2 linked regions of the Neodiprion lecontei genome follow. The protein of the gene in region 1 interacts with the protein of each later gene in a pairwise test. Links are inferred from orthologs where the notes say so. Each region holds a gene or a part of one and is shown on either strand. Other genes may lie near its edges.

Region 1 (6,898 bases):
TAGTCGACCGGCGGTCTTCCCAAAGATGAAGTGTTTTTCTTGTCATCCGAACGCTCCGTCTGATGCGTTCTATTTAACTGGAAAGTTGGTCCTCCATCCAAGGCGGAGACCGGAGACTGAATCTTGCGAGCCTCCAGATCCTGAGAAAATAAATAATAAATGTATTAAAACGCAACACATGTAAGATAAACATGGGAAAGAAATTTTGGCGGGATTTTGAAGCGCACTGAGATGCTGTTTCTACTATTTCAAACATGAAAGATTGATCGTGTGTTGGGATACTCACGTAAGGTGAATTCGACAAGCTGGCATGGCTCATGTTTGGACTCTGGTTTGCAGATATGCTCATGATTTTCTTTTTGAGCCTCGATGGGCATTTGTCGAATATGTGAAGAAACTCTGCGGTCAACTGCTGAAGCAGTTCAGATGTTACCGACCTGTCAACGTACCAAAACCAATGTTTTCCCTCGTTGCTTTGCGGTATCTACGATGGAATAATTCGGAGTGAATACGCCACTCAGAAGCGTGTCAATAAAGAAGAATTGACAGTTGTAACTAAAAATCGGGAAACATTTAATAAACCGCAGAAAGCTGTTCGACCTTTACCTCCCAATTGGACCATTTGCAGGCAAGGTGAATGCAGAAGCAAGCAACGACTGTCGGCTTATACTGAAGACACATTGTGGTCAGGTGCAAACTGAAAGCAAAGGAAAACGTACGTTTTAGACAAATGGATTATAACTTGAGAGTAAATTCTTTGGAAATATTGCTCAACAGAAAACTTTAAGTTTTTTCTGCGATTCTACTGGGTGAATATGACGTAGAAGGATTGTCACTATATCAACTATTCTACGATTGATAAATTATAAAGAAGAAAAGAAAAAATGCAAACAGTCCAAATTAGGCACTTTGTCAGGACTTGATATTTGTCAGTCTTTCATGAGTCTAGACTGTTTAAGACTTGATTCTAACTGGACGTAGTGATAGCCGATGTGAAAAGATTGTTATACAGAGCAGGTTCGATTTTTCTAAGGCTTCTTTGGAAAAACCTACCGCTTCAAGGGTGAAAAGCTCGAAGCTCAAAGCGATTTTTGGATGGAATTATGTGCGGCGGACTGAAAACTAAATTTGAATGGATTCAAAAAGAGTTTGGTGGATGAACTGGGGTCGACAGTGTGTAATTATTTTTTAATTAAATTTTTTCAATTTACCTTCGACTTGTTTAATCCGCATCGTCAACTTAGCTTACGAAATTAGCGCGACCGGGCTTCGCTTTGGGCATAAGTGTTTCTTTAGAATCAGACATAAACGCGACCGCAACGCAACGTTCCTTCCCCAAATAATACTGTCGACATTGAAATTGAAATATGAATAGGTGTTAATGAGTGGAATTCTGAAATACGCGTTACCGTAGCACATGGTATTGACTAATTGATCAGTTGTAGCATCATTTCCAGTTGTAAATAATTCATCACTCATCGTTAATGATAAAGAATCAATATGAAATTAAAAAATTGTTTAAAAAATCAAATCTCCAATCGTTAATGAGCAATAAGACCAAGGTCAGAATGTTGCGCCGTTGAGCCGCCGCCCGAGAGGCCTTATTACGAAAAGATAATTTATATTCGTCTTATATCGAGGTAAAGTACGAATAAATCATTAGCCACCTGTTTGATGCCATGAAGTAGGAAGTCTGCGCCAAGTCCTTGCTCGCTGAAAATGATATTATAATAATTTAGAAAATGCTTTACAGGTTAATTATCACCTGCAAGTAATTAATCTGCAAAGTTTGTGGCAGTGAAAAGTTACCTTTGACTAACTGGCAGCACCTGACGACATGCGTATGCGGATGATCGATGGCAACATTGAACCCGAGGGTTTGGAGCAGCACGTTCTCATTGAAAACTAGATCTTGGGCCTGTTCGAGGTATTGCTGCAATAAGAAACGCAGTGTTTCAAAGTAGAGGTATTTACGTGGTCGGCAGATGATGGGAGGCGATCAAAGACTAACTTCTGACTTTGTGTCCAGCGCAGGCTGCTCCCTGTGGAGGCAGAAGTATGCGACCTTTATAACGACTTCCAATTTCCGCGGCTGCTCTTCTACCTTGGCAGCCAAAAATAGGGCTGCTGTTGCTATTGCGTTCCTGTGGAACTGCGCTAGCGAGTGAAACACGTAGAACCGATGCATGTAGACTATTGCTGTGTTTATGCATAGCTGCGATCTGTTTGTCGCAATCCCATATGCGAGTTGTTGAGTTAAGGAAAATCGTGTTTCAAGTACCATTGAACTTTTTACTTACTCTATGCAAAAAATATTAATTCCAATTGTGCAGAATATAAGGAGGTTGCTTATTTAAACTGCTACAAGACGCATAGCCATCAGACTGTGAGATGTGAAAAATGATCGTAAGTACTAAGGAACAACGACGAAGTTATAAGATAAAAAATTAAAGCACGAGAATGATCAAATATGTGGAAAGCAGGACTTTTGTAGGTAAAACTTTAACCTGGCTATGCGGTACTAAAGAATAAATACAATGGTAAGGGCAAGGAAACCTGTTGAAGCGCATCTATAATATTAAAACCTCGTCCTAGTTGCAAGTAATAAACATGAATAGTGGCTTGCAATGGAAAGAATACGACTTATTCGTTACACCGTTGCTAAAGCGTGCTGCACTTACATAACAAACGCAAACAAGGATTGACGGTTTTTATTAAAACAACAACCTTATGGAATAGGAAATCATAAAATAACTGTTGACAATTGGGATGGTTTCAAAATGATCTAATCATCGATGAAGATGTATGTAGTCCTAGAAAAATTGTTTTAAAAAACGTACAACCTTGATGAAAATTGAAAAACAAAAAACACTTTTCGCAGAGCAAATTACAGACTTTCTTGATTAGTTTAGCGAACAACGAAGTATTTTTACAGACCACATTTGAAAATAACAGCAGTCTTAGGTAACACGTGCGGCACAAAGATAGCTAGTTTGTAGTCAAAACAAAACAGAGAAGGTTAAAACGCAGAGAATAGATAAGTGGTAATAAACCATAAACTGGAATTCCGCAAGTGTTTGATCGCTGGTTCGATAAATTTAGACTATAGAACACGACAATCCCAGTGTTTACAAAGCTTTACCTTATTTTTACTCTGGCAGTGACTCGACTAGTCACGGATATGAACTCATTGAACTTTCCCAAGTGTTGACTCACACTAGTTTGGGACGCCAAACGCGCGGAGGGTCCAGGAAACGGGAAGACGATGACAAGGAAAATAGGAGAAATGAAGAAGGTTTTTGAATAACTAGGAAGCGACTCAATAGACGATGATATAAGGCGGCACGCTGGATTCGCGGAAATGTCGCGTGCGTCGTTTTAGATAGGTAAATGCGAAGGTTAAAAAAGGATACACAGAAAGCCGTTGTCCCATATCTTGTATAAAATTTGCTGCCTGCTGACGATAACTTAGCTCTTTATCTGCGTCGAAACCGCATCTTCTGCTCGGGGTTGTTGCTAATTGTTCCTTCGTAAAGTACCATTTTTCGTCAGCCGCCATTTATATGTACACTTCTGGCGTATACGCAGAAACCCAGGCTCGGCTTCGCACTTCACGTTGTTCAAGGTTCCCGAGGTTGCGATCACGGCCGCCACCCGCCAGGAGATAGCTTCACGTCACGGAAACCGGAAGTAAGCGAACCACAAGGATGGAGTTTCAAAACCGCGATTCCAAGATCGTCTCAGAGCACCATCGAAGAGCAATTCACACCTTCAAATTTAATCCCACATGTACATACTTCGTATATTCACCGAGGTGATGATCAATTTTCGACAAATTTTTCACAGCGCAATAATAAATGTGATTTTTGCCACTTACTCGCGCGTCATAGGATGCGTCTCGAAATTAACTGGCGGCGCTAAAAACTCTCTAGAACGGAGAGAGCTACTTACAAACTCTGCAGCGCAAAAGAGATAAAATATGGTTGACAGCGCCAGGAGCAAAATCGGAACGCAACCATGGTCATGTTTTCCCCGTTACTAGCGCCACGCGACTGTGGATTTTAGTGCCAAGTGACGCGGCAGCACACAATGAGTCAATTTTGCCGACGAGAGGCGTCGGTCTATGGCCGTTCGAATACTTTATGGACGAAGCTTCGGAGACGTAATTTGCTCCTGTATCGTATCGGAAGCACTTAACCTAACCTTGTTGTATTGGTCCTTTCCAACTCCTTAGAGATTGTTTATCTCCCGATCGAGGTCCTCGCAGTCTTCTTGGCCTGTTGTTAAACATCAACGATCGATCCCGTTATGTAACGGACCCTTAGTCGGCTGCGTGCTTTCGCGATTTGACGAGGGCGGAGGATTGTTGGTTAGGATGTCGTCTCCGGTGTGTCTGGCATGTTATTATTGTCGCATCGTTATCATCCGTGTGTATAAACTGTAGCAAGACTGTTCGACGGGCCGTTGCTGACCTTCGAGGAAAAGTTTTTCTTTCGCTGTAACTCCGTCAACAGTGTCGCAGCGGTGGGACCGTTCGTTGTGAGTATTTCAGCTTCACGCCGAGCCTTGCTCCTCGTAAAATCGAGTACCAACCGAGCCGAGTCCGTTCAATCGTCTCCGAATAACGATATCATTGTTTTAATGCTTTTTTCGGAAATTACATACTACATTCGACACGTTGTATGTACCGTACATACGTACGCAGCGAACCTTCTGCGCAGTGATCTCGACAGTAACAAAATGGCGACGGCAAAACCCGTTAATCGGATCCGTTGTCGACGCCTCTCGACCGCGTTACTTGACCCGAAAATTCCATCCGAAGTCGTCGAATTGACTTATACCATTTTATAAATCTGTTCATCACCTTAAAATTCTCCCCGCATTCTCAAATTCATCAATAACGTAAAATTATTTTAATACAGTATACATGCACATGCATTTAGTGTCATAATATCGATACATCGCCGCCATTATTATGCGATCGATATTAATGGCGGCAAGTTTGAATACGGATGAATAGCGCCTTGCGTCATTTGGTTTTTGGTAATCTTCAAGTAAAAATCAAACGCGCAATTCATTGTAAAAAATATCAAAACGAACGAATTGTGAAAAACGGGTGGCAATAGAGTTGAATATTGGTCAAAGGAATGCTTCCTCAAATGTAGAGAAACGTCAAAAATCGGAGAATTCATACTGATGGAGCTCGATTATTAGCAAGTTTAGCGCAATTGCACTCTTTCACCACTTCTCACAATGCCAAAAAGTATGTGTTTTGCCTAATTCCACCGAATCACAACATGGAACAAAAATTTCTCTGATCCAATTCAATTGAATTGAACTTAGTACTGAAGCCTCAATATTTTTTTTGTAGTCACCTGGTTTTTAAGGTTAATTTTTTATATTCACCGTTATTTCCAGAAGCAATGTTTCGTGTGCCAAACGCAACTGCAACCCGAATTGGACCTGGAAAGAGTTCATCTGAAAGTCAAAGTTGTTCTTACGGATCATACGAATGCAAACAACAGAGCCTTGCGGGCTACGCCTATTGCTCCAGACATATTTTAGAGGATAGTTCTGCACCTTACAAGCAATGCAGTTTTGTCTACAACAGTAATGGCCGTAAGTGCCAGAACCCGGCATTGAAAGGTGATCGAAGAGATCTTGCGTAAGTGGAGCAATGAATGTTTATTCAGTTTGAATTTATTTAAATTGAAATCAACTTCATACCTTGAAACGACGATGAATGGCTTCACAAGAGAAGTTCTGTACGGTCCTTCGCTTTTCAGGTACTGTTCAGATCATGCGAGAAGGGCACAGTTAGCTCGCATCAAGTCCACATCGCGGCATTCGCCACCGCAGACCCCGGAAACTCTGCTTCTTAATCTAAGCCACTATGTTAAGCCAACAGATTCTAGTGCGGAGGATACGGAGGAAGAAGAAGGAAAGGTGAAGGTTCTGGATCCTTTTGGTGAGGGCCCATCTTTTCTAGAGATATAACACCTTTAATTTTTTTTTAACATTATCGCTGCTTCAGCTTTTTCGTGGTTGTTCATTAGGTGTGTTCTATTTTTCAGCTGAAATTGATGCCTATAGAATAAATGCCAGTGGTTGTGATGTCCTTGACTACGCAAGCTCTTCGGATAGCGATGTCGAACCTGTAGTTGTCAGCGAAACTTTACGTGGTGCATTCCTCGACGATAGCGAAGACGAAAGCCTCCAAAGTTCGCAGGAGGACCCACTTAAGTATGTCGGATCTTTGACACTCTGCACAAGAACTCGGCTTGGATAATTCATTGTTTACACGTATACTGTCCTGCAACTCAAATATCGCAGCAATTGAAATTGGAATTATTGGCTCTGATGCAAGTATCTCACATGCAAATTATAAATTTGAGCTTCTCATTTCTATTCAAATTATTTGCAGGGATACGAAGTTTTCAATCTACTTTAAAGTTATGGATTCATGAAATGATCACAGAATTTTTTAGAATCATTTTTGAGAGCCTTAAACTATTCGGAAAATATTAGACATTCCGCGAATATAAAGGGTTCAAATTTCAGGTGCTTACGGCATTAAAGGGGAATGAATGTTCAAAATTCTATATTTTTATCTAAAAATGATGATTCGTCTGATCGTAAAATTTTGCATTTGACTATTGAGGGAACTTTCCAACAAATTGCCTGTAATCTATGTGAAATACCGTCATACGCTTTGAGAGTTGTTTAAAAATATGTACCTATTAAATAATGTGACCACATATTTTTAGAAGATTAATTATAAGTAAGGTTTGAATTTTATATTACGTATTGTAACGCTAGCTTGCTTTTGCTTGTGCATTACTAAATAAGGGGACTAAATACCAAAATAGTTACTTACCTTCATTTTTATTGTTCTAAC
Region 2 (6,591 bases), on another chromosome or scaffold:
TGATCGCGGTGACGTCATCGCGTGGAAGTGTTGAGTTCGGGTAAGATGTCGGTAAGTATCGGTAGTAGGAATCTGTGTCCAGAACCCCCCTTGTATTATTACTATTACAGCTTCGTATAGGTAGTAAAATGGATTCTACGTATAATGAATAAACAATTGGTATTTCATTTTAGCAGATAGTCCGGCGAATACGCATACGGAAAGACCGATGAGGAAGGGTCCGAATCCGCTCGACAAGATCTTGATCGCCGATTAAGAGGGAAGAGCTTGTGATATAGAATGTTGAACATCTCGTCACGCGTCGCTTTAAAGAAATGTCCAGTTTAGATTTTGATTTTTGTTTCTTGTATTTTTTTTTTTCCTTTTTCTTTTAAACCTCATGTTTTTTGATTGTGTGAGTGCATATCATAATATATCATTGTATGGTATGCGGGATTAATAACCCGTACACCGATAAATATTGTACACTTCGCAGTGAAATTATTTTTATATATATATATATATATATATGAAGATCTATACGCATATACATATATCCAGTGATGCATAATGAGTTTAGCTTATAATACGTGTATTAAACATACAGGTATATACAGATGTGTGTGTGGTTTATTCTTATAGTTATACATTATATTATATATTGTAATATTTATCGGTAACTGAAACGAGATGGAGAATTTTTTTCCTCATTGTCATCAATTTTTCTTCTTCAATTTTTTATCGAAGCACGAAGCATGTAGAATATAATAGTAATACGGTATATGAGTATTAAAGAGTGTAAAGAGAAAAAAAAGAAAAAAAGAAAAAAAGCGATAGAGAGAGAGAGAGAGAGAGAGAGAGTCAGCTAAAATGTACATATTAATATGTAGGATTCATACTTACCCATATTTGCAACTACATTTATAAGTATTGTCCAACGCTAGACGACCTATAATTGCAAGCTATCTTTAATATGTAACAGGGACAATGGAATATTACATGCAGATTGAAACGATCGTTACGTTATTATGTATCGAGTTCGGTTATCTGAGTAAACAATTGATCAATTAATAACAGCACGATTAGAGCGAGGCTGTTCTATTAACGACCAGACGTAGTTCCTTGCGTAGTGCCAATCACGAGAATACAGTTATAGCCAATCTGTACTAACACAAAGTCACACGGCTTGCGCGAAATAGATCGTACAGAAAGTGATATCTTAAATCTATATAATCTTGGATACAATTACGTACCGCGCGATCCTATTCGGTAAATAAGGGTACATTATTCCGTTATTCCGAGATAGGATTTAATGAAACGAACCGTTTTTGTAGTATCTTTTGATCTATATTCAAACGATGAACCAATTACCTCCCAGCGCCACACAGCTTAGCCATGTCGATTGATTAGATCTAATGCTCGTACTTTATCTTTCTCAATTGTACTACCCTTGCATTGCATTTCAAAACTATAATACTATACAAGTCATTCAACATCTCTAATAACTAATGTGTATTTTTAGTAATATATATTCTTATGATGTTGAAAATAGCATTTTGAGATCAGCGTCAGATTTTTTTCATTTTTTTTTCAATGTTGTATCTTTTTAATTGTAATTTTTCCTGAGTCCTACAATGCCTAATTTTATAATAGTTAACTAGCTACTATTTGATATATTAAAATGTTTGATAATATACATGAACCTAGCCACCAACACCTCTTATTGCAGAATATAGATGAAAACTGCGCAGAATCGCTTCCTGTTCGATTATATTTATAAGGAGTGCAATAAACAATAAATTTATATACACTGTCGTGTTCACTTGTTCTGGAATAAATAAAGTTCGTATCTTCGAACAATGTAATACATAACCAACATCATCTCATCAAATAACATATTTTGCTACTTTCCACGGAACGGACGATTCAAATCGTAAATAAAAGTGTATTAAAAAATCGGCGGCAAGTCGAAGCATATAAGTGGAGGACAGAGGAGATTGAATGAGTGTAATTTAATTGATATAGAAAATGTATATTTGAGTATATTATTACACGTGTTAAATTAAAAAAAATTACAATATATGTATAACAGTCTAATGTACACGAACTGGGCCAGATAAATCGCTACTGGTCCAACACTCTTGAAATGCAATCGCACGTTTCAGTCATACAGCAACGCTTTTTGAAAAGCGTTAGATAAATTCTATCTAACTATATCTAGGTATAATGTATTTGTGTAGCAGTGTCTGTTGCGTCTATGTACATTCTAGAATACGCGATCCTGATAACCACTGTCCGCCATACTCGAACTTGGTTTGGCAGGACCTCCAGGAACTGGGTGATGCGGGTGACGCATGTGACCCGGTCGTCGGGGCGGTGCTAAATACTCGAACATACTTTGAGTGTGCTGCGCCAACATTTTGCTGAGATCACAGGGCATTGGGTCGGTCCAGAAAAAGTCGTGATTCAGTGCCGAATCGGAGTCATACCTTTTGCTGGGATCGAGAATTAATAGTTTGTCTAAAAGGTCACAAGCAAAGGGGTCCTTGACATACGGCTTTAGTCTCTCCTTCACCTAGTACACATGAATTTGTCATTTATTGATTCAAGTGCAATTCTTCTTACAATGAAATTCGATTGATAAATTAATGTTTTAATTTTCTTATAAAATTCATGTACCTTTCTTTTTTGTCCTTTGGGCAATTCCATCTTGTTAAATAACTCTAAATTTTCTACACCGGGCCATACTTCGGTGGTCACAGATCCACATAGTTGAGAAATTAGCGTGAGCTGTTGTTGTTCAGTGTTTCCTTGCATAATGGGTGATCTGGATTTGATAAAAGTTTGACAATATGAATGCACTTCCATTAAAAATAAACTGGAAGCAGCCATAGCAAAAAACTTAATTCAAATCTTAAATCGTTTACCTAGTCCACATTTCCGCCATAATACAGCCCGCCCCCCATAGATCTACTGGTGGACCGTAATTTCTGTCTCCCAGTAACAGCTCTGGTGGCCTGTACCAGAGGGTGACAACACGGTTTGTGTACCGATTTACTTGACCGTTTTTATTGGCACTGAAAGCTCGCGCCAGTCCAAAATCTGCGAGTTTCAATATACCGTTTTTTGTTATAAGAACATTGGCAGCCTTCATATCTCGGTGTAAGATCTGTGAATGTAAAAAACGTAATTAGGAGTTTCGGCAGATATAAATGATTTTCAGAGAAACATTAGTTGAATCTAACTTACCTTGTTACTATGAATGTAGTATAGGCCATTGAGTAGTTGTTGCATGACTTTCTTTATTTCACCCAAGCTGAATTTGACGTTTACATTAGATAATAGACCTGCTAGATCATGTTCGCAGAAATCGAACACCAGGTAGAACGTCGATCGATAACGGTTGTATTGAGCCGCTATAACAACAAATCATAGCGCGGCGCTGAGTATTCTGCAGTTTTCTCACAACCAATGCAATTCGATTCTGATGAACATACCTCGAGTTCTGCATATTTCAATTAAATTAACCACATTTTCGTGCTTCAGTAACTGCAATATCTTTATTTCTCTCAGTGCTGTAATGGGAAACTGCAATGATACCATATTAGGTAAATGGTTTTGGGGTTAGAATGGAATGATGCTTATGACTAACAGTCGCAGTACAATAACGCGGTACAGGGTGTTGAATCTAGGGCTTAGGCACACGATCTCAAGTGTAAGTTATTCCAATTGTTTACGGGAGTCATGCCGAGTAAAAAAGCAAATGTACGACTAAGAGAACAAGGTCGAAGCTACAAGATGAATAATGCGGCTTGACGAAAAATTCTGATAGTTACCCCTTCTTTCTCGTTGTCCATAAGAACTTTCTTCATTGCTACGAATTTTTTGTTACTGTTCTTTTCCTTTGCTTTAAACACTTCTCTGTGAAAAAGTAATCAAAGATTGTAACAAACATAACCTTGGAGTGGGAGTTGTTAACATATGAATTGATCACGTACCCGAAAGTACCCTGGCCGATTTTAGCAACTTTTTCATATTTCGTTGATTCATCGCAGTGCGGAAAATCGAATTCTTCAATGTACTTCTCCTTTTCCTTTGTATTCATGGCGCGATAAAATATTTCACTTACTTCAAAAACTCAGGTCATTACAGTCACTACGTTTGGGTAAACCACTGAAAGTAATATCCGACAGCTATCAGAACCACGGTTCTAAACGTTCTAAACCGTGATCAGAACGAACATGAACCGCTCCGTGGAGGCCTTAAAACATATACCAGTAGAGACGCTACCGCGCTTGGTTCCAAACCGCGGCCAGGGTGGATAACTCAGGGCCTCGCCGGCAGACTGCGCTGTCGTTTTAAACGGTACAGTCGACTAAATTATATTATTTGCGTTTGTTAAGAGAACATCAGAGTATGTACATGTATGTATTCTAACATGTATTCGCATTATTTTCAGATGGTTAATCTCCAGATTTCCACGAACTGTGGCTGTAAAACATTTTTCAAACATACAGGTATATTTTCTGGAATTACATGCTGAAATAGAAGCAAGAAATGATTGAAAAAATTAGCGATGTTGTCATCTAATTTTTTCAACAATTCCTATCCTCTTCCGCGCTTCATAACATTATCAGCGATTAAGATTTGTTCAGTGACGTGTCAATCGAACAAGTCATTATCCCTGCGGTATTCTAACGTTAGATTCAACGGTCATGGGTTATGTTATGTTTATTGAGATTGAGTTTGTTCGCGCTCGGCCGACTATGACGTTGTAGGTTTCTGTGCATTGTCAACATAACGGTCTAGTGTAAAAAATTAGCAGTCTCAGATTCTCATGAATAACCCAAGTACAATCCGTCATTGAGCCACTGCATATTTCTCCAGCTTCGATAAAAAAAAAACTCGATGAAAACACACAACACTCAACTGTTAAAATTGAAGTTACATACTTAAAATCTTCATGGGTATTAAATTGTATGTCTATTCAATTAGCGAAAAACCTAAGTGAAGAACATGTATTTTGCCCTTGTTTTTGTGGTAAAGATTACCACGGCAGTACATTACCACGTCATTACTTATGATGTATTGCAGGATACAGCAACCCACCAAATTGATCACAAGTACGATCAAACACGGCACGTGTATTCGCATTTGTTTCAAAAGTACAGACATACCGCTCGTCGCGCACTCCAGTGGCGGCCCGCTAAACTATATGCCATGGCTACACATTTGCCCAACAAATGAGTGTCTACTTTGTGGAAGCTGGCCCTCAATAATAAAAATAAGTGGTATAATATTATGTAGAATATATCATCATTAGTATTATGTATAAGTATACAATATTATGATTATGCTAACTAAACTTGGTAAAGTAGTATACATTGACACCTGAACACTTGTACTAGAAATAAAACACATTGAATAAACTGAAACTGAAACTTTGTAACGATGAGTTTGTGATTTTTCTATTCCACCTCTTTAATAACCCGGTGTCAATTTCATATTTTTCAGCCGTGAGTTGTGATCCGTTGCTCGCAGCGTATCGGGACTGCGCCCAGTCGATTTCTCTCGCAAAATTACGTCGGAATAGTGCACGAAAGACCTTATTCCAGCACTTTTCGAAATCGCGAAGATTTTCGCCAAAAATGCAAAGGGTTAGCCTTACTTTTTCTTCATTTTTGGAGCCGAAAATTTTTGGTCTCAGATACGATTTGTATGACCATTTCCTAACTAATTGGACCGCCAGGAACTCAGAAAACGCAGCGAAAAGAGCGTGGGATCAACAGGAGAGAAATTCCGAAGGAAAAAGCACCCGCTGAAAAACGTCGAAAACACAGGTTCTGGTTTTTTGGCTGTAACTTTTGATCTGTTGCTCGCAGCGTATCGGGACTGCGCCCAGTCGATTTCTCTCGCAAAATTACGTCGGAATAGTGCACGAAAGAATTTATTCCAGCACTTTTCAAAATCGCGAAGATTTTCGCCAAAAATGCAAAGGGGTTAGCCTTACTTTTTCTTCATTTTTGGAGCCGAAAATTTTTGGTCTCAGATTCGATTTGTATGACCTTCTCCTGACTAATTGGACCGCCAGGAACTCAGAAAAAGCAGCCAAAAGAGCGTGGGATCAACAGGAGAGAAATTACGAAGGAGAAAGCACCTGATGAAAAATGTCGAAAACACAGGTTCTCGTTTTTCGGCTCTAACTTTTTATCTGTTGCTCGCAGCGTATCGGGACTGCGCCCAATCGGTTTCTCTCGCAAAATTACGTCGGAATAGTGCACGAAAGAATTTATTCCAGCACTTTTCAAAATCGCGAAGATTTTCGCCAAAAATGCAAAGGGGTTAGCCTTACTTTTTCTTCATTTTTGGAGCCGAAAATTTTTGGTCTCAGATTCGATTTGTACGACCATTTCCTGCCTAATTGGACCGCCAGGAACTCAGAAACTGCAGCGAAAAGACCGTGGGATCAACAGGAGAGAAATTCCGAAGGAAAAAGCACCCGCTGAAAAACGTCGAAAACACAGGTTCTGGTTTTTTGGCTGTAACGTTTGATCTGTTGCTCGCAGCGTATCGGGACTGCGCCCAGTCGATTTCTCTCGCAAAATTACGTCG

Evidence for each region.
Region 2: the proteins of cyclin-T (region 1) and cyclin-dependent kinase 9 interact in a two-hybrid assay, tested with the Drosophila melanogaster proteins (2 studies listed by BioGRID). The link is inferred for Neodiprion lecontei from reciprocal best matches to the Drosophila melanogaster genes CycT and Cdk9.

The regions. Positions count from the first base shown.
Region 1 is NC_060264.1:32,078,127-32,085,024, reverse strand, and holds the start of cyclin-T, read right to left. Parts: upstream 4,337-6,898; 5' UTR 4,204-4,336; intron 4,076-4,203; exon of another isoform or gene 3,878-4,075; intron 3,770-3,877; 5' UTR 3,560-3,769; coding exon 3,414-3,559; intron 2,223-3,413; coding exon 2,012-2,222; intron 1,934-2,011; coding exon 1,810-1,933; intron 1,714-1,809; coding exon 1,668-1,713; intron 1,339-1,667; exon of another isoform or gene 1,212-1,338; intron 698-1,211; coding exon 601-697; intron 485-600; coding exon 287-484; intron 141-286; coding exon 1-140. Other genes in the region: KAT8 regulatory NSL complex subunit 2, read left to right, coding at 5,254-5,263, 5,419-5,665, 5,787-5,968, 6,075-6,243. UniProt on the Drosophila melanogaster protein: Regulatory subunit of the cyclin-dependent kinase pair (CDK9/cyclin T) complex, also called positive transcription elongation factor B (P-TEFb), which is proposed to facilitate the transition from abortive to production elongation by phosphorylating the CTD (carboxy-terminal domain) of the large subunit of RNA polymerase II (RNAP II).
Region 2 is NC_060261.1:1,241,122-1,247,712, reverse strand, and holds cyclin-dependent kinase 9, read right to left. Parts: upstream 4,232-6,591; 5' UTR 4,085-4,231; coding exon 3,978-4,084; intron 3,901-3,977; coding exon 3,816-3,900; intron 3,568-3,815; coding exon 3,477-3,567; intron 3,396-3,476; coding exon 3,229-3,395; intron 3,149-3,228; coding exon 2,907-3,148; intron 2,807-2,906; coding exon 2,659-2,806; intron 2,555-2,658; coding exon 2,246-2,554; 3' UTR 1,996-2,245; downstream 1-1,995. Other genes in the region: SPARC-related modular calcium-binding protein 2, read left to right, coding at 174-256.